Arabidopsis thaliana: one gene and its partners. The protein of the gene in region 3 interacts with the protein of the main gene of each other region in a pairwise test. Each region holds a gene or a part of one and is shown on either strand. Other genes may lie near its edges. The genes, in order: UBC32, AT1G65690, AT4G31250 and PAP3.

Region 1 (5,445 bases), on a different chromosome or scaffold from region 3:
TATGTATGCTTCTTTTCATTAAAAACGAGTCAAGGTTATAATAGTGGAAAAAGCAGTCACGTTCCCATAAATCAAAGTGTTTTTTTATTTTATAGTAATAGGCAGATGAAACAATTGCTGTTAAAAATCTGACTTCAAAGACACGCAAAAGCAGTGTTTGCTAGTTTTAGTACCTGAGGATCCCTGAGCAATAAGGACTGATAGACTTTTAACTTAGCTTCTTTTGCCACCATCCCTTCTTTTTTAAAAAAATATTATTTTCATTACGATCAACTTCATTTATTAATTTGAACCTTCGGTAACTTTTTCTCTTTTTAACGTTATATGGCAGTCAAAGGTCAAAGTTGATAACCTTTTCTAAACTGAAAAGTAAAAAAATAAGGTACAAGATGAGATCACACCAAACTAATGTGTGCAGAAGATACCCCAAAACTAATATGTTTCTGTAATTTATAATGAAAATACACACAAATATATAAACCACACGACTCACTACATGTGTGTTCATATACATACATATATGATCAAATTGTTAAACTTGACCATGAAATCTATTGATTTAAAAATTTGGATACATTTTAGACATCATGTACTCAAAACGGGAAATAGTTATGAACATAGTGGAGGTAATCAACAATTCTATTAACAAAGCATCAATGTATTGATAAAACGGTCGTCAGTGTTCAATTCCAAAATACATATTGTTAACTTGGTCACAAGCTATAATCCAATCTATCAACTAAGTTGCAAGACAATGTCACACAGAAATTATTTACGCCATTATGCACTTTAATTATATTTATAAAATATTAAACAACACAACCCCATTTCTTAAACGCAGCATTGACTTTCATCAGAGTTCAAGACTGATCATCCATAAACCCAGTACTGTAACCATTTGATTTTATGAACTTCTTCAGAAGAAGAACCATGATAGCGATTGTGAGCCCAACCGCCGCCCACGTGAAGAGTCTGTCATCGACTGGCTTCTGAGCCGCTCTTCTGGCCATCCTTTGCTCACCACTTACAGAAGCTTTGACCACAACTTCAACCGCTGGTAAAGGTGCTGCAGCGGGAACCACACTAGCTGCTGTATTGACTGCTTCAGCTGTCTCTTCTATGATTTGATCATCAACTATGGTGTCTGTTGTAGCGATGGACCGCTCTTCTACTACAGTTATCGCTTCCTGTGGCTCAACTTGGGAGTGAGCTTCTGATACGATGGAAGGTGCTTGGCTACATTCCAGAGGAAGAGGTTTTGGAACCACGGTTGCTTTGCTAAGGATGTACTGATGAATCTGCGCTTGTTAAAAGGTCATGGTTACTAAAAGTTTTTTCCAAAATTGAAGATGAATCAGAGGTATGAAACTAAAGTCATAACAAAAATCATGAAGAAAGGGACGAGAGTTTAGACCAAAAGGAGATTGTTAACACTACTATTGTCTTTTTTTTTATATTTGTGCAACTGACTACTTTTTAAAAACGACAATAATCAGTAAAATGGTGTGTTAGGACTTGAGCAGCAAATTTTACTGTATGGAGAGAATAATAACAGCTGTGATTGCAGTTAAAACAAAGCAGATACTCTTAGAGCAAACATTAAATCATAACCGCTAGAGATATGCAAGCCTAATATATAATATATTGCGATCCCGTTTTGACCACCAGCTAGTCCTATGGTTTATAATGATGCAATGCAATGGTATGGCACATACTCTACAGGTTCAGCAAGCATCTAGCTAAATTCATATATTTTCATCAGGATATTATGCATAGTGGTTCAACACCCAAGGGTATTCTAGTGGGGAACTATACCTCATCAATAATTTTTTGCCGTTCAGGAGAGCCATACTTAGGTGGTGTCTCACGTGATTTAATGGCTAGTGTACGTCTCTCATCCTTTGGATAATCTACTGAGCCCAGTGCTCCATTGGGACTTGTGGGCATAAATGCAATGAGAGCCACCAAAGCAGTCCGAACTGAAAAGAAACAAAGCTCAATCATAATACAAAAGAGCTGATATAGTTCAACCTCATGTAAATTACAAGTGTCTGAGTAATCTTTTAGGAAACAACATAAAAGTCAAGAGATAAGGTCTCTTGAGATCCATGACTTTACCACTCCATGAAGGTTGCCAATGCTCAGGGTGGTAGTTTGAAATGCTCAAGCAAATCTTGGTGTTAGTTTCAAAGCGCCCGTTAGGCTGAAACAAAAGTACAGAGATTCTTTAGATACATACTCTCTTATGGAACTTGCAACATCTGTGTGTTTTTATATATGAAATAAGAGTAAGATCCTTACGGTCAATAACATGAATGAAGGAGGTTTGAATGGATAATCTGCAGGCAACTGAATTCTCCCATGATAAATCCCGCCCTCGAATTCAGTATCACCAGGACCTCGGATGGCGAATTGCCACTCAAAGATATTCTCCTGAAGTTAAAAGATAGATAAGAGTAATCATGTAAACTATTTGGTATCACACAAGAACTTGTAAAAAACAGCTATAACATCGCGCGCAATCTATTTGGACCATGACATGTTGGAAAAAGTCTTCACAGTTAAAAAAATTAGAAACGAAGAACTAGTATGACAGCTGAGTGGATCAAGGAATCGTTCGTAATCTTCCCCACTTGACTCAGTTATTCCAATAAAAACACAAAAATCCAAACTTTATCTGTTGCACGAGTGTTGAAAGTAGAGAGACTTAGTAAATTCAGTGTATACAAGAAGATATATCGATCCTCCCTAATCATGATCGCCTAAAATCAAACACCATCACTCAGAACAGATACACAATTACAACACAACACAACATAACACAACAACATAAGACAAGGGGATTTTCTCAAAAAAGGAAATTTCAAATATAGATTCGAATCAAAATTCCCGATCTAAAAAGCTAGAATCGGAGATGTTACCTCAAGAGGAAGAGACATAAAATCATCAGACGGATTAGCTTGCATCTCCTTAACCTCCTGCAAAATCCTCTTCACCGCCGGATTCTTCCGATTATACCTCTCATCCGCCATCTTATTTATCCCCACGAGATCTTGCCGGAAGTGCAATCCGCCGCCGGAGTTCTCTCTGTCCGATTCGTCTTAACAGAAAATAATAAATACACAAAATTAGAATTACCACATGGCTTCGGGAGATGAGCTAATTAGTACGGTGATATAATACAAACACACAAAATTAATTCCAAAACATTTTCCACGTCACACTCTTTAACGACGGATACGTGACGTGAGAGAGCTTCTGAGTAAGTGCCACGTAATTAATAAACTTTAGTCATCCAAACATCTCAACGGTTCAGAAACTGTCACGTAATCTGAGAAATTTAAGCGCCTCTTTACAGCCGTCGATTTGGGAGAATCATTAAGCTATCGTGGCGAGACTTTAATAGGCCTTGGCCCATTAATTTAAAGCCCAATGAAACGTGCACGTCACAGACAACAGAAAATCAAAGCGTTGACAGTGAATCGGTGAAGAAGAAGAGTCTTGAGTCTTGAGTCTTGAGAGAAAGGAAGAAGAAGCAATTTCAATGGAGAAGAGAGGGGTGATCGACACATGGATTGATAAGCACCGTTCGATCTATACGGCGGCTACACGTCATGCTTTTGTCGTCTCGATCCGTGACGGATCCGTTGATCTCTCGTCCTTCAGAACTTGGCTGGTACTGTAATTAGTAATTACTGATGAAAACAAGGCAAAATATGAAATCTCACTCGATGACTTTTAAACGACGTTGTTTCCTTGTAGGGGCAAGATTATCTGTTCGTGAGGAGGTTTGTGCCGTTTGTAGCGAGTGTGTTGATCAGAGCTTGCAAAGATTCCGGCGAGAGTTCCGATATGGAAGTGGTGCTTGGTGGTATAGCATCGTTGAATGATGAAATAGAATGGTTTAAAAGAGAAGGATCGAAATGGGATGTTGATTTCTCGACCGTTGTGCCTCAAAGAGCTAATCAAGAATATGGCAGGTTATTGATTTCATATATGCTGATTGAATAGATTTCTCACACTCGAAAATGAAATTAGGAACCAGCAAATAAACCGGAGTTTCTGGTTAATTCAGGTTTTTGGAAGATCTGATGAGCAGTGAGGTGAAGTATCCGGTGATTATGACAGCTTTCTGGGCAATTGAAGCAGTGTATCAAGAGAGCTTTGCTCATTGTTTAGAAGACGGGAACAAAACTCCGGTGGAGCTTACCGGTGCTTGTCATCGTTGGGGGAATGACGGGTTTAAACAGTATTGTTCGTCTGTCAAGAACATTGCCGAACGTTGTCTGGAGAATGCCTCCGGTGAGGTGCTCGGTGAAGCTGAAGATGTACTTGTACGAGTTCTTGAACTAGAGGTTGCCTTCTGGGAGATGAGCCGTGGAGGACAGTAGCTAATGTTTGGGTTTGAATTTCTCATTTCCTCTAAATGCCAAAGAGAAACAAGTTCCAATCTTTATGTTTGGTGAAACACAAGTTGAGATTATGGTTTCATAACAGATTACATGAATACGGATTTGTCTCTGACTGGGGCAGAAGGTTGTTCCCGTCATTCCACATATTACACTTACTGGTAACTACATCAACTCCTAAAACTCTTAAGAACTCACCAATTGAAACCGAAAAGCTCTTTATTCTCTCCAGCGATGACCACAATTCGGGTTGCAACAGACAAAGAACAGTGTCATTCCTTCTTCACCTCTAGCCGTAGCCTGCACATTCAATGATAGCTACATTAAATCCTCAAGCGGTGTACAGAATTTGAGCATAATGTTTTGGGGAAGCAAACAGTGAAGATACAGCATAACCAAGTAGTTAAATAAATAATGGAGCTTAAGAGAGTTATACCTGGAAGAAAACGGCCTCCCTATGCTGACACTTAGAGCAACGCACAGCCTTGGTTCGGGGAAGAGTAGGGTCAGAAGCCACGTCTGTTAAGATCTGAGTTCGCTCACTTACAGAGTGATGAACCTCGTTTCTGTACACACAGCTGTTATCAGCTACCTCCTGCAAGTCAGTGCCACAAAAAGTATAAATTCTGAGATGAGGACAACAAACCCATTTACATGATCTAATCTAATCTGTCAATTTGTAACAACAAGATTGATAATGCAGCTTAAAAAATTGCAAATAACTACTCAGTTTGTGTAAATCAATAAGCTAAAAGAGGCCCTTCAAGTATTCATATAGATCTCATAAACACAACACTAGAAAGATAAACCATAAGAACTTGCTAAGCCTTAATTGAAGGAGTTAGTAAATAGAGAGGTTGGTAAAACTAAGGAAACTAGGAGCATTAAAAGAGAGATAAAAGCAGGAAACAGTTTCATTAAAGTCTCTTAATTGCAATGAAACTAAGTCCCACTCGCAATTTTGTGCACTACATTGAACACTAAAAACCCTTTTTCCACACAAAAAAAAGGTACAAAATGACCAAAAGCTATACCT
Region 2 (4,245 bases), on a different chromosome or scaffold from region 3:
TACCACCAATATGAGCGCATATATTATATTTTTTGCCATTCTCTAAATCTTTTTTCATCAAAAGAAAAATTATCGACATTATGCTCATTCTCTAGCCAGTGTTACAATACCTTTCAAAGGTAGCCTTCCTCCTGAAACTGGTTGTACAACTACAAAGACTTCGGTTTGGTATATAACTTGAACTAGGAATTTGTTTCTTTGTACTTTTGATTCAGGACCTTACTTCATGAGGATAGTTCTCAAATTGTTACAGAGGACTGTCACAAGTTAAGTACATGAATCTTCTTTGTGTAAGTTCTTTTAGCGTTTCTTTTCTACATGTCTCTCTCTTCTCGCAAAAATTCAGTTTGTTCTATATATCTATGTCTCTTTATTATCTCTTTCATGTTGCTTGGAATGTCTTACCATAAGGTTTATTTATTGAGTTTGGTCTTTGCTTTAGAATACCAGAAGTAATTGTTGGAACAAGTAAATCTAATGCAAATTTGAATTCATAACTAAGATCTTGGAGTTACCTCCAATTTAAGTTGTAAGTAGTTAAAACTGAATTTTGGAGTCTACCTTCAACCAATTGTTTGCTTAAAAGAAGGTAAGGTGGAGTGGTGGACATGCTCTGGTTTTAAAAACTTACAACTACTATACTTTGAATTCCACCTATGTACATAGTATTGTATACTTTAATATATTAATTTAAACCAACAGTTTATTATACAACAAAGGTCTGAGACACAATAATGTACTTTAGAGGAGAACTATATATGAGTATGTGACTATATCTGACAAAATTCCCTCTGTATATCTCGATATTAATTATATAAAAAAAAACGGATCTATAACCTAAGACGAAATTTGCAACTACTACTTTGAATCTTAATAACATTATTGGTAGCCAAGCTATCAACAAATACACCACATCTGACCAAGAATCTTACTTCGAAGAGCTTCAACTTCCCAAATTTGACCCGAACCGGTTGGTTTACTCTAATTCTCAATGGTATATTCCCGGTTCTTTGTTGTTGCTCTTCTAATGTCGTCCTTAAACCCGATGCATTTTGTGTTTGACCAGTCATTTCTACGTATATCACTGTCGTATTTTCATGTCCTTGGTAAAATTTTGGCAACGACCCTATTCAAAAAAATCACAAAAGTTCAATGAAGTTAAATCTATAAGAAGACCCGGTTTGAAATGGTGTAAACGAATTATAATCAAACAAGAAAACCAAACAACATAAATAAATATGTTTAGTTTTGGGGTTTTCAGTCCGGATAAACCGGTATGATCCAACTCTACCAAAAACGATTGATTTGAATGAATTAACTCTATTATATCCGAACTATTGAATATGAACCGAACAAAAACTATCTAAACCAAATTTTGTTTGAAACTAAAGATATACAGTATTTGACAATCCTAATCCAAAATGAAAGTAAACCCAAAGCCAACCAAAAAAATTTAGACATCCCTAATTTGAAAAGAGTTTTAAAGTCTTCCTTGTGTACGAACCAAACCAAAGGAAAAGAACAGAAATCAACCAAATAAACCGGTTTTGTAGTGAGATTTTGAAGCCTTCCTACGTTAAAAAACCAAAAGAAAGCAAACCGGAGTAAACCAAAAGTGACGTACCATTGCTTAGTTGATGTTCCATGTACCACACGGTAATCTTGCTCCCATCTTCATAATAAATTCCAATCTTCTCGTTCGGATTCTTAGCGGTTATAGTCACGTTAAAAGCCGTAGTCAAACTCGAGTCTTGGTTCAGTGCAAACCGGGTGAGCTGTAACCGGTCAATAGAGTAATCCGGTAGCTTCGGTTTAAAGACAAGGTATAGTATACCAATGGATGCGCCTACTGCAACGACAAGAAGCAAAAGAAAGCAGAACGTGTAGCAAAAGCATCTGCAACAACAACTTCTTCTCTTCTTTGGAGGAGCCAACGGCACGAACCGTTGTGGCCTTTGGTTCAAAGGGACTTTGGATGGGTCTCCATGTTCTGATCTAGAGGAACCACGAGGAACCAAAGGAGCTGTTGGACGCGCTGTTGCGGCTTCTGGATCTTGGACCGGATAGATTTTTTGGTGTTGAGACATTTTTGGAAAATCTTGATGACACCAAGAAGAAGAAGAAGCTTTGTTTGTAGATCTTATTTAGGGGTTTGGGAAATTAATATAAGTAGGGACCTTATGGAGTTTTTAAAGTCAAGAGGGAAGAACTTTTCAATGGAGAGACTTCTCTATATGAACCTATAGATTATGAAAAACAAGTACATTCGCTTCCATACAACACATCACACGTGTAATGTGAATTTGCGTGTCTGCTTAGGTAGCGGTCTTTTATGGAAATTGAGTTTGATGTGAACCCATCAAATAAAAAAAATAAAAATCATTAGTAGGTATCAAATTACTTGCAATATAGATGGAAAAATTAGGATGACTTTTTGGAAAATACATATATTGTAGTCCTATACATTATCAAACAACTAAAAGTTATATCCACTTAAGATATTTTCCAATTACTATTTGTTTCTTTTTATTTCCTATAATTTTTTCTATTTACTCTTTTGCTCTTTCATGTTTACTCTTCTTGATTTATTTATATTTCATATATAAATGGTACTTAATCTACAAAATAAAATTTCATATATTTACGCCTCGCATTGTCTTTGAGAAAATACAAGTTTTTAATATTTAGATCGCATATAGTTTGACTAATAGGTACATTATAAAGTCAAAATACATTTGATGAAGATCTACTTTACTTTTGTTGACCTAATCCCCTAAGACTTATGCAGCAGTGTTCTCATGCATTTCGTCATGAATTTTTTTTCTTTTACTTTTTTGTTAACATGCTTTATTTTATTATTTTTTTTGCAAATAAAATTCCATTCGAAATCCCTAGGCCCCAACGATGTTAATTTATTTGTAGTGTTTCTGTTTAATATTAATCGTTATCAACGAAAAATTTTTAGAACGCAATTCTTTTGTTCTTCATATTAATAACCAAAAATCAAAAGCTTCTGATAACACTTACTATGAAAAATTTCAAGAAATAAATCACTTAATATGAAGAATATTACATTGGAATCGTAAAAGAAGACCCAAGACTCCGATGAAATCAGAAGTGTTTGGTTTTGGCGAGTTATTACCAAAACCAACGACTTGTATGATGCGACTATGGGAGAATGACATATTAAGTTAATATCTATATTGTTGTCTTATAGAAAATGTATGATGCTTCTAAGTTTTAAATACGGCCATTTGTTGATGTTGATAGATTTGATGATGTATATAATCCTTCTAGATGAAATTGCAACGACATTATAATTTGTAAGATACCAGAAACTAATTCCTCTTTTTTTTTTCTTTTGCAATTTGAATATCTATAAAATTTTGGTTAACAATAAAAGTTTTTTTTCTAATCAAAGAATTTGTGGTCTAGTAGCAAACCTAGGTCCGTCCAAAAGATTGTATGATTTAAGTTTCCGACCAAAACGTTTAAGACATAAAATATCATATAGCTTTTGTCCTTAGGATACACAAATAAGACAACTCCAGACATCAAAACAAACTATCCAAATTGTTTACAATCAAATCTTCTCTTTGTTTTTAGGCTTTGAATGAGAGAATTAGATTTTCTCACCATAACTATATTCAATCAATGCACTACGGGTTTCAACGGATGGGCTCTCAGCTTCGAAAAATCCAGACTAGCATCAAGCTCCTCGTCCAGCTCCCCGATAACACCTCTGATCAAAGATGACACCATTTTTTTTATTGAAACAAAAAAACAATTGCAATGTTAGAAAATCACTGATGATGATGGATGATAAGAATTACATGTTGTCCCCTCTGATGATGTACAAACCCAACACATGTTGTTGTACTCCTTCCTGCAAAGATGAAGACATAGTAAGAGGTCTCAATCCTAATTCCAATATCCATCATTTTAACAGAACTCTGCCTTCACACCAAAAATATCCAAGAACATTTGTCTAATGAAGTATCAACATGACCTGACATACTCTTAGTGTAAACAAGAAAACAGACATGAATCAAACCTTTAACCCTCTTACGAAAAAAAGGAGGTGATCATGTATAATTAATTACACACTGCCAATATCTACGTATTTGACTTACCTATCACTAGCTAAATCTTTTGACATATGAACTCACAAGATTTTTTCAATCAGTTATAACACTCGAAGAATACTAACACTAAATCTGTTTCGGTGTATCCAACACTATCTGA
Region 3 (5,906 bases):
TACAGACGATGAACTGTCTCAGATGGCCTGTTGAGAAAAGTAATAAACAAAACTTAACATACCTGATACCAGAGAGATGGTGGTATAACCTTTGATACGAGGAAACTATACCGAAACAAGTTTCAATACAGAGTAGATTGTAACAAAATTTCCACACAGGTTTAATCCTTATTGATGATATGCCTCTCGGTTGATTAAGCTTGTAAATTCCAAGAAAAGGGGATAAATGAAATCACATGGGGACAAGGAAATATAAATAGAAAAAAAAAAGATATAAACTTAAACTTTATTGAAGTCTCTCTCAAAAGAACAAGTAAAAGTAAATCAAAATATCCTCAAAGAATATACCATCTACAAGGTTAGGTTACCCAATATCTAAAGCAACAAGCTTGTGAAAACCATTAATTTTATATTCTTGCTTATCTCAACACTGCATCAGAAAGTGGACAAGTTGAATACGAAATGGACATAAAAGACATTCTTTTGCGTCTAGATGATACCAAAGTATGGCACGAAATTAATATTCACAAAATGGGGAAATAGCTGAAAAGTGAAAAAATCAACAAAAGAACAAAAGCTTGAAGCTTTACTCATCAATCATATCTGTTAAAACTAGGGGGAAAAAAACTGAATGCGAATAAATAACCCTGGCAATAAAAAATAAAAAGTAATTCTCATTACCTACAAACAAAGACACGAACTTGATCAACAAATATCAAGGAAACGAGAATTAGATGAAGAATAAGACTAGTGGAAAGACCAGAGAGAGATACAGGCCTTTCAATGGAAGCTATTACATGAGTGAGAACTCCTCAGTCATAGCTCTTGAAGAACGATGATCACCATCACTAGCAGTCACGTATGAAGATCGAACACTCTCTTGACCTCCACCAGCATCTCTATCAACCTCTTCTATTCGATCAACAGCCTCATGAAGCTCAATTCTCTTCTCAATATCCCAATCACAACATCTCAACCCGATCTTAAGCAGCTTCAACATTTGTGCTTCGTGCTCTTTCCCTGCTTTCATCTCCTTATCAAACACATCAGCAGTCCACTCGGTTCTCGCTACAGACTCAACCCAAGCAGCTAACTCATCATCAGCTCCTTTCCCTTGCCTGAGATAATTCGCCGGAAACTTCCCTGTCAGAATCTCAAGAATCAAGATTCCCAGGCTCCACACATCTGATCTTCTCGAAGTCCTATCCTGCTGAGTGAACTCAGGTGCCTTGTAAGCCACCATGAACTGCTGTGATTGATCTCTGTTAACAACCGGGACAAGAGCGTAGTCCGTAAGTAGAGGCTCGAAGTTAGGATCAAGCAACACATTGGAAGACTTGAGATGGCCATGAGGAAGATTCAAATCAGGGAACACTCTATAGAGATAAGCCAATCCTCTCGTAACTCCTCTTACAATCTTCAATCGAATCGGCCAATCCAAAACCACTTGACCTGGTGTTCGGTTAGCTGCAAAATCAATCCAACAAAACTCATCAGATTCCTCATTTCATTGGATGAAGATAAACAGACACTTAGAGAGTTCCATAATATTACCATGGAGGAGATTAGCGAGGCTTCCATTGGAAATGTAATTGGTAACGAGAAGCTTCTCTTCTTTTCTGTAATAGAATGCAATCAACGGAAGGAGATTAGGGTGAGACAATCGTCCGATCTTCTTCATATGATCGTAAAACTCTTCTCTCCCGATATTACTCATAAACCTAAACCGTTTCACAACCACCGCACGACCACTCGATAAAGCCGCTTTGTACGAAGATCCAAATCCGCCGCTTCCGAGAACCTCCGCCGATGCACGGAGCATATCCTGAAGCGTGAACCTCTCCTGATCATTCCTAACGAAATGTAGCTTCCGTTGATCTCCTCGTTTGTCTTCATCTGGAGAGAGACCTCCCACGGATATAGCTCCTGATGTTGCTGTTGAATCTCGCTGCACAGTTTCATTAGCTAGTTTTCTGTAGACCTTGGAGTCCTGTGAGCTCTTTTCACTGTGTTGTTGTTGCTCGGGTTGTCCGTAGACTTGTCCGTGAAAATGGCCGACGCCGTGGTTTTGGATTTGGTCTTGTCCTTTGCCTTGACGGCGGCTGAGAATGCAAACGGAAAGAAAGACGGTAATGAGCACTACGACGGCGAGGATGGTGAGGGCAAGGAGAAACACGGTGAAGAACGGCGGACGAGTGTATCTGCACGGAAGCAATGGCGCTCCACACAGCCCCTTGTTACCTGTTTTAAGGCCCAAACGAATTATTTAATTAACATCATACATGGCCCATTTATCAATAGGCCCACTAATAATCATTTCAAAGAGAGTATTTTCCACAAATATTTTGTCAAAAGAAGAAATAAAATTTCATATTGTAACTTTTACATGCAAACATTTTTTTTTATTACATGCAAAATTTAATGCCTAATAACGTGCTCACTACTACTCACCAAAGGCTCCAAGACCAATATGTTCAAATTTTCCCATGAATAGTGATAATTACATAAAGTCTAGTCCTTAGGAAAATTTTCACAAATGTTGTGTGTTGCCAGTATATATATATATATATATATATATATATATATATATACATCAGATTATAATATGAAAGATGTTCAGATGATAATTAATCAAAGAAAAATAAACAGATTTGATGATGATGATGATTCATACCTGAGAAGAAAGTGATGTTCATAAGGCCGAGAGTTAACGGAATTCGACCCTCTAACTGATTGTTAGCAACGTTAACGGTGACGAGATTCTTCTGTTTAAACGCCGGTATTTTCCCGGTGAACATATTATCCTCAAGATTCAGCTCAGTAAGCTTCGGCAATTTCCCTAACGACTCCGGAATCTCACCGGAAAACCGGTTTCCTTCAAGATGAACCTTCAGAAGAGCCTTCATCCCGGAGAACAAATCACCGTCTATCTCACCGGTAAACTGGTTATGCGCAAGGTAAAGATGCGCCAACGAAACAAGCCCGTCGATTCCACGAGGGATCTTTCCCTCGAAATGGTTACGCATAAAGCTGATACTCTTGAGACCGCGGATGGACCCGAGCGCTTGAACATCAAGCTCACCGGAGAGGCTCATGTTCTCTAGACGGAGAGCGAAAACGGAGCCGTTTGAACACATCACTCCTTTCCATTTCGAGTCACTTCCTTTATCACCGGAGCAAGGAGGCTCACCAGAGTCCCATCCACCGAGCGAGCTGGCGTTCACGAGAGATGACTTGAACTTCAATAGAGCATCAGCATCACCGTCGCCGTAGATAGGAGAAACGAAGAGCAAGACGATCAATAACAGAGAGTATACGATCGGGAATTTGTCATCACGGGTCATTTCGGTGAAAAATAATCGAAATTTTTGGGATTTGAGAGGAAGAAGAGAGATTTATACGTCGGAAGACGTATTTGTTGGACGGCTTCTCTATGAATTAATCAAATGAGAGGAGACTTGCCGGAAGAAGTATGAAAGGACGGCTGATGGTGAATGACAGCAAAGGTCAAAGCACACAATCGTTTTCGCCAACAACGTGGAACCAAGTACTGTGTAAGCTTGTCCATGGTATGATTACTCATAGATTTTTTATTATATACCTTGATTACGTGTGTTTATATATGTACTAGATTTTTGTAACCAAAATATGATTAAGAAATTCAAATGTATTGCATTCCACATTATTTATCGCGCAAATATTACTAGTTGCTATTTTTTATTTAGTCTAAAATATATACGCAATCCAAAACATAGTGTAGTTTCATGGATTTTCTTATAGATATCCTTATTTTGTTAATTTATGTTGTAATGTTTATATATCTTTCCATAACCAAATGGCCTCTATCAGATTTAGCGATCTTTTAAAGTGCAGAAATGCTTTATTTTGAAGCTTTCTTGTTGTAAACTTGTAAATTGTAATCATCACCAATCAAATACTTTATTTTGTTGTGGAGCAAAGAACGGTGTGTTACTCAATCCTGCAATGTCTGAAATAATATCCCTTTATCAACGACAGCTTTTTGTTCTACAAAACTTTTGGCTCCATATTTCATGTCAAATTAGGAGCTTGGTAAACATAAAACAGTTAATTAAAAAGTGTAAAACTAAAACCACGCTCGTCTTGTATAGGTCGTTATAAATGTGTGTGTTTTGGATGGCGATCCCTTTATTTCGTAATTGATATTCAGACAGAAAATATATTTGGAGTCTGGACGGAAGCGAGAACACCACCGCAAGATCGGATATCTTGAATTGGAATTTCAGACTTAACTTTGTCTGGGTATAAGCTACGAATGATAGAACCGGCTGCTTTGGAGGCAATGAGGAAGCTCTCCAAGGAGTTTCTTCCTCCAGGTACTTTTGACTTCAAGCCCATCATTGCGTGATCCGGATGCTTTGAGGGCTCATCTTATGGATGCCATGAATCAAGCGAGAGCTGTGCCAAAGCCATAATTTATCTTCTTCTTTTTTGCAGTTTGCAACATTCTCTGAACAAATTCTATGTAACCTCTTACTATGTTACTTATGACATTGTTAAATCTTATACACTTTGGGGACACCAAATCCACAAGCTGGTAAGATACTAAAGAACATTGGGATATATTGCATAGCTTGAAAGTATAGAATCAGTACGAATTATTATACAAAGTCGATTTCCAATTGTTAAACACAAAAGACTCCATGGCCCAATGGATAAGGCGCTGGTCTACGAAACCAGAGATTCTGGGTTCGATCCCCAGTGGAGTCGGATTTTTATGCTTTTGCCCTGTTTTGTATGTATACTTGACAGATTACAGACAGCTTTTGAAAGTCTACAAGTCTACAACATTATTACGATTCATGGCTAAGCATTTACAACTGATAGTTTATTCACATTGTAAATCACTCGATTTCTTGTGGAACTTCATGAAGCCTATTAAGGGTACTAACAATTTCACTCAGACAACCGATGAGCTCGTCTCCTTGCTGTCTCACAGACTTCAACTTGTCGTCCATACTAACACCATCCTTTGTTTCATTATCCTTTGCTAGATTTCTCCCGACTATCGCATGTATCAAGTCAATTTTATAACTTAGCTTCGCTTCCATCACTTCTACATCCTCTTCTATGTTCATTGTTTCATCTTCTTCTTCATCTGTGGACATATCTTCCACCGGCTTCTTCTCTCCCATGGTTTTGTTCTGATGGGTTGCTTTTGTAGTTATAGGTTTCTCTCGAGTGTTTACTTGAACTCGGCTAGTCCGTGGCTCTTCTTTCTTTGTCTCCTTCATGACCATTGTTCGCTGTCTTGATCTTTTTGATCCTACAAAAGCTGAATTTAAAACCAGAGTGATTCAAATGGTTAGCATAAGAAGAGTGTCAGTGTGTCAGTGATTCTGGACTGATCCGAGTAACTCCAAATATAGCAGTTCAGAGTTTACCTGAAGATGGTGACTACAAAAAGAGCAATATAATCATAGTGTAGCTCACGGTAGCAAAGTGTTCTACATATATTTCAACTATAACTACACCGACAATTTTCGTCATTCTGTATCTTGAAGAAGTGAATAAGTCTGTCTATGCACTATTTGTTCTTAAGATTCCTTAAAGGCCTAGTTTCATTTAGTAATGGGGCAAGAAAAGGATAGTGTATAGTGTACCTAATTCAGCAGAGAGATCAACAACGTCTTGCGCTTCAGGGTCACTATCAGATTCAGTCCCAGCTTTTTCATCTTGGATCATCACAACCGCATTGATGGCTTCAAAAAGCTCGATATCGATATCCCCCGGGAGATTAAGTAACTTCCTCTTGTCACTACTCAGGGACCAATAGGAACGACCAGTGCCTCGGTACTGAGATTCCCACTTCTTGATCTGATTGTAATCAGACATCAAAGAATCCCATTTCCTCCTGCATTGGTTTA
Region 4 (5,068 bases), on a different chromosome or scaffold from region 3:
TTTGTCATAAACTACGTAAAGATAATGAAGTAGCTAGTCCTGTATATATTATCTTATGTTTCCTGGTACTAGTTCTGGTGCGACTGCTAAAATCTAAATTGTCGTCTTTAGATTAACATTTGTTTTTTTTTTCTCTCTATGAAAGTACTAAATTTTCATAGGATAAGCCATTCAAAATATCAATTACAGTGACTATTGAGTATTGACTAATATTATTTGAACTCACAACTCACCTACATGTATTAATGTTTGCATTATTTTAGTGATTGCTAAAACACATAAGTGTCACATGACATATATATCATTGTTTAGGCTAAACATATTATATATATGGTCTATATTATAGATATCGATCCAAGTCTATTAGCCAATCCAACACTAAAACAATCCTCTTGTAAATGAGTAGCTCATGACGACATTATTCTGTTTCATTTTGGAAGCATTAGCATCATTTCCACACACACGTGTTGACCTAAAAAGGCCTATATTTGTTCTATTTATAAAGCCTTAAATTAAAGACTCAAGCAATATCACATGGATCTAATATATAATCATATGTTGCATAGAAAAAAAGAACAAAAAAGAAATAGAGAGAGGTGGTTGAATGATTTAGGCTTTACATCAAACCCACTGTTTCAATAATTTTGTTAGGTGTGTGTGTGTATGTGTGAATACAGCTAGAGAGTTTCACGAAGAAGCTGGTTGGTCAAAACTTTTGACTCGAAAGGAATTGCTGACAAATCGATCAATCAATTTGCTTCAGAGAGAAAAAAAAAACACATAAACACAATTGACATCTCTCTATCTATACGGTCCGATACTAGACTTGGCGAACCAAACTAAAGATACAGTAGGACACTGTGACTGTCTAGGACCACCAGAGATATTCAGTGAAGTTTCTATAGTCATCATAAGTCAATCTTGCTGACTACATCATACTAATAGGAACTATAGTCGTAAGGAACATATATACCACATTAAGCTTGTTTCTTTTGATTAACTCCTCAAGTTGTTTTCAAAATACTCGACGAACTAGACTGAATCAGCAATAAGACCAAACATGTAAAATAAACGTTGCAGAAGTTAATGCTCATTAGTTTTCTCTTTTGTAAGAACATACAAACACACAGGTGACAAGTTTTGGCCAAGAATTACAAAATAATATGATACCTTCATAGTCATACCTCAGAATTAATGTCCTAGTCGAGAAGCAGAAGTTTGTTTTTATAGATCTTTCTTTTCATTAGAGAAATGGGTATCGGCCCAATAACATAGGCCAACCCATTTGCATTTATTTTCTCATATCCAGTAAGGATATACTTTCAAATTTTTGTATAAATGGGATTTTGATTTTTCTTTAATATGTTGAACGAATTTAGTAAACTATTCACATTATTTTATGTTCAGAACTATACTGTAAAATAACTAACGGTCAACAATAATTGAGAGAATTTGGAAGTTTTCGTTAGACTCACATCAATAATGTGACTCAAAGCTAATAATTGCAATTTCCGACAAATTTGTGGCATGGGCGTTTATGCTGTCTTCTACTCTTCTTGTATGACAACGCACATACCCGAGCTTCGTAAATTTTATTTCTATTTTTTTCAAGTATATTTTGTTTTTAAAATGCGATTTTAGAAAGAATTTGTGTGATCAGAATTCACGGTGTAATAATAGTTTGTATGCATACTGTTGTTTGATGTGTCATAATCCAAATTTAGATAATATGTTTATGTATAATGTTAGAAATAAAAATGTAGTAGAAATTTACGTATATTTTCACTGATAATAGAAATTTTCAAATATCCTTAAACTGTCAATATCCAATTTCTTTATGTTTAAAATATTTCAACAGCTAATTTTCAACCGCTATTTATTTTATTTAAATTTATCTTGTCATTATATTTCGTTATTGATAAATATCTGAAAAAGTGGGTGACAAAAAAATTACCGATTCAAATTATTGTAATAAAATTGACAAATCAAAAGATTGAAATAGAAAACAAAAATGGACTACATTTCTCAAAATGGCAAATAATTTTTATTCATATTTATCAACCTCGAAATGACCTACATATATAGAGACACAAAGATCACAACAAAATCAACCATTCCTTTCCTTATCTTCTTCCTCTTTTGCTTTTCTAATCTCTCAATGGCTACCTTAAAACACAAACCTGTAAATTTGGTATTTTACGTTTATAATTTGATTATTATATTCTCCTCCCATAGTTCCACGGCGGAGCTCCGCAGGCTACTGCAGCCATCAAAAACCGATGGTACAGTGAGCTTTCTCGTTATCGGAGACTGGGGAAGAAGAGGCTCCTATAATCAGTCCCAAGTAGCTCTTCAGGTTACTTCTTATTTTCATTTACAAGTTATTTACTATATTTCTCGCCTGTACGCATATATATAAATATATAATGCAAATTCAATAGTGTATAATTAATACGTATTACGTAAACATATATATGCGTATGCCTTCAAGAGCATACGTGATATGAGGATCAAATTTACTGGTCTTCATATTAATGCCGGCCCTTATGTTTTTATATTATTCTTTTTTTTTCTTTTTTTTATTATTATTATTCAATTTCAATATATATTACTAATTCTTGAACACCATGTTATAAGATACCATAAAAAGAAAGAAAGTCATGTTAGAGGAACTTGAAAGATTCGGTCTGTGTTAAGAAAACAGCTTTAGTGTACGAAGATATTCTACATATGATTTTTGTTTGTACTGTTGTTTTGCAGATGAACTCAATGTGGTAAATTTTATGCTAGTTTGATGTTTTCTTTTATACTGTTGTTTTTAGTTATTTTATGCTAAATTATTTCACACGAAATTTAAACAGATGGGAGAAATCGGAGAGAAATTAGATATCGATTTTGTGATTTCTACTGGAGATAATTTTTACGACAATGGTTTAACCAGCTTGCACGATCCTCTATTTCAAGATTCTTTTACCAACATTTATACCGCTCCGAGCTTGCAGAAACCTTGGTATAGTGGTAAATGTGTGGTTCAATGTGTACATTCGTCGTTGGATCTTAATTATTAAACGATATGTGGTTCAATGTGTTAATTACATTTTCTTTAACCTAAAGTTTTAGGAAATCATGATTATAGAGGTGACGTCAGGGCACAACTTAGCCCTATGCTCAGAGCTCTGGACAACAGATGGGTTTGCATGAGATCTTTCATTGTAAATGCTGGTAATTCCTCCTATATAATATTTCTTCAAAAGTTAGAAATATTTTATTAATCCTCCAATTATTTTTTTATTTTTGTTAATTTCGTTAACTGAACAGAGATCGTCGATTTGTTCTTCGTCGACACAACTCCGTTCGTCGATAAATACTTTATTCAACCAAATAAGCATGTTTATGACTGGAGCGGTGTATTACCTAGGCAAACATATCTGAATAATCTCTTAAAGGTAACAATTTTTTAAGTAAATCTTCCTTTCTTTCTTTTTTCGTCGAAATAGAATTAATATTAACTTAGGAACGTCATTATATACGTGTTTTGGGCAAAACATTCCTTTTTCTTTTGTTATGATTGGATTTTTTTATAAAGTTATGATTGGATGTTAAACGCAGCTTTTATTTTGTCTATTTTCAAATGGAATCGCGTTTTAATTAGGTATGTAATGCGATATGATTAGAGAACAATCTGCCAATGCAACTTTTTTTCTTTTTACGAGCGAGTGACTAACGAAAGCTATAATGTAATAATATAGGAACTCGACGTGGCGTTGAGAGAGTCAGTCGCAAAGTGGAAAATAGTGATTGGTCACCATACGATCAAAAGCGCAGGCCACCACGGGAACACCATTGAGTTGGAGAAACACCTTTTACCTATTCTCCAAGTAACAAAACCATTCCATTCATATAATAAAGTTTATGCACCAATAGAAAAAATCTATCTAATTAAATCTGTTTTTTTTGTTCTCGATTTACTAGGCAAATGAAGTGGATCTCTACGTAAACGGACATGATCATTGCTTAGAGCACATAAGCAGCGTGGACAGGTAGAATAAATTTATTTATTTGTTCGTTAATTATTTTCTTATTAATCAATTATTGTAACGTAAGGGTCCACGTACGGGAGGATATAAAATGTCACCATTTTTGGTTGCATATAGTAACATACAATTTATGACAAGTGGAGGTGGATCCAAGGCCTGGAAAGGAGGTGACGTGAACTACGTTGAACCAGAAGAGATGAGGTTTTACTACGACGGACAAGGTTTCATGTCGGTTCACGTTTCAGAAGCTGAACTGCGTGTAGTCTTTTATGATGTTTTTGGACACGTTCTGCATCATTGGAAGAAGACTTACAAGGAGGCGCTTTATTTCGCTTCTTGATTCCAATTTAATCGGACGTAATTGTTTATGATCGATGTACTATGAAATTATCAATATCGTACTTCGTCGAATTTTCGAATCACATTATGATATGACAAGAACATATCAGCAGCATCAGAAAAAAAAGTCAATGAAATCTTTATTGCGTAAAAGTACAGTTTCAAACAAGATATTATTGAAAATTTGTAAGATGTGAGATTAACTAGAAATACTGCATGCATATACTGTATATACATATCGAATCTAAGCATATTAAAATGTAAATATCATCCTCTCTTACGCTTCCATATTAATTAAGTTAATTAATTTTCGTTATTCTTATCCAATTTGATTAACAAGTTTTCCCGAAGCATGCGTGCATACAGTACTCTTGTGTAGTTTGTAGGGACACAAAATGGGTCCGATTCTCATCTATAAAGATAGATAATGATTTTGTTACATGTCTTTTGTCCTGTGCTCAGATTCTCTTCAATCATGTAATATATATAGATAAGTTATAGTGAATTATGGATTATATGATAAGATAAATGATATACAACTCTATGTTGTGGATGAGATTCTGTCACATAATTTCACAAGCCCCGGATCTCTCATATTTGATCGCAAGAACACTTTTGCTCATACCAAAATTATCTCCCAAAAGAAATATAATAGTCATTCTATTAAGGCTTATCTTATTTTACTTTTGGTG

What was found.
Region 1: the proteins of AT4G31250 (region 3) and UBC32 interact in a protein complementation assay, tested with the Arabidopsis thaliana proteins (one large-scale study listed by BioGRID).
Region 2: the proteins of AT4G31250 (region 3) and AT1G65690 interact in a protein complementation assay, tested with the Arabidopsis thaliana proteins (one large-scale study listed by BioGRID).
Region 4: the proteins of AT4G31250 (region 3) and PAP3 interact in a protein complementation assay, tested with the Arabidopsis thaliana proteins (one large-scale study listed by BioGRID).

The regions. Positions count from the first base shown.
Region 1 is NC_003074.8:5,794,883-5,800,327, reverse strand, and holds UBC32 (ubiquitin-conjugating enzyme 32), read right to left. Parts: upstream 3,399-5,445; 5' UTR 3,033-3,398; coding exon 2,922-3,032; intron 2,434-2,921; coding exon 2,302-2,433; intron 2,204-2,301; coding exon 2,119-2,203; intron 1,980-2,118; coding exon 1,816-1,979; intron 1,299-1,815; coding exon 861-1,298; 3' UTR 581-860; downstream 1-580. Other genes in the region: AT3G16990 (heme oxygenase-like, multi-helical), read left to right, coding at 3,545-3,676, 3,763-3,980, 4,076-4,391; NRPB9A (RNA polymerases M/15 Kd subunit), read right to left, coding at 4,629-4,709, 4,846-5,004, 5,444-5,445. UniProt on the Arabidopsis thaliana protein: Accepts the ubiquitin from the E1 complex and catalyzes its covalent attachment to other proteins.
Region 2 is NC_003070.9:24,430,812-24,435,056, forward strand, and holds AT1G65690 (Late embryogenesis abundant (LEA) hydroxyproline-rich glycoprotein family), read right to left. Parts: upstream 2,355-4,245; 5' UTR 2,088-2,354; coding exon 1,625-2,087; intron 1,127-1,624; coding exon 831-1,126; 3' UTR 606-830; downstream 1-605. Other genes in the region: LSM8 (Small nuclear ribonucleoprotein family protein), read right to left, coding at 3,652-3,742, 3,834-3,886, 3,966-4,017. UniProt on the Arabidopsis thaliana protein: Plays an important role in the abiotic stresses-induced abscisic acid (ABA) signaling and biosynthesis. Acts as a positive regulator of ABA-mediated seed germination inhibition. Functions downstream of ABF2/AREB1, ABF4/AREB2 and ABF3.
Region 3 is NC_003075.7:15,178,408-15,184,313, forward strand, and holds AT4G31250 (Leucine-rich repeat protein kinase family protein), read right to left. Parts: upstream 3,531-5,906; 5' UTR 3,345-3,530; coding exon 2,675-3,344; intron 2,397-2,674; exon of another isoform or gene 2,242-2,396; coding exon 1,555-2,241; exon of another isoform or gene 1,468-1,554; coding exon 794-1,467; 3' UTR 518-793; downstream 1-517. Other genes in the region: AT4G31260 (uncharacterized protein), read right to left, coding at 4,186-4,380; AT4G31270 (sequence-specific DNA binding transcription factor), read right to left, coding at 4,884-5,314, 5,643-5,906.
Region 4 is NC_003070.9:5,056,612-5,061,679, forward strand, and holds PAP3 (purple acid phosphatase 3), read left to right. Parts: upstream 1-1,971; 5' UTR 1,972-2,068; coding exon 2,069-2,356; exon of another isoform or gene 2,357-2,774; intron 2,775-2,861; coding exon 2,862-3,018; intron 3,019-3,114; coding exon 3,115-3,222; intron 3,223-3,318; coding exon 3,319-3,446; intron 3,447-3,749; coding exon 3,750-3,878; intron 3,879-3,972; coding exon 3,973-4,040; coding exon of another isoform or gene 4,041-4,044; exon of another isoform or gene 4,045-4,154; coding exon 4,155-4,377; 3' UTR 4,378-4,529; downstream 4,530-5,068.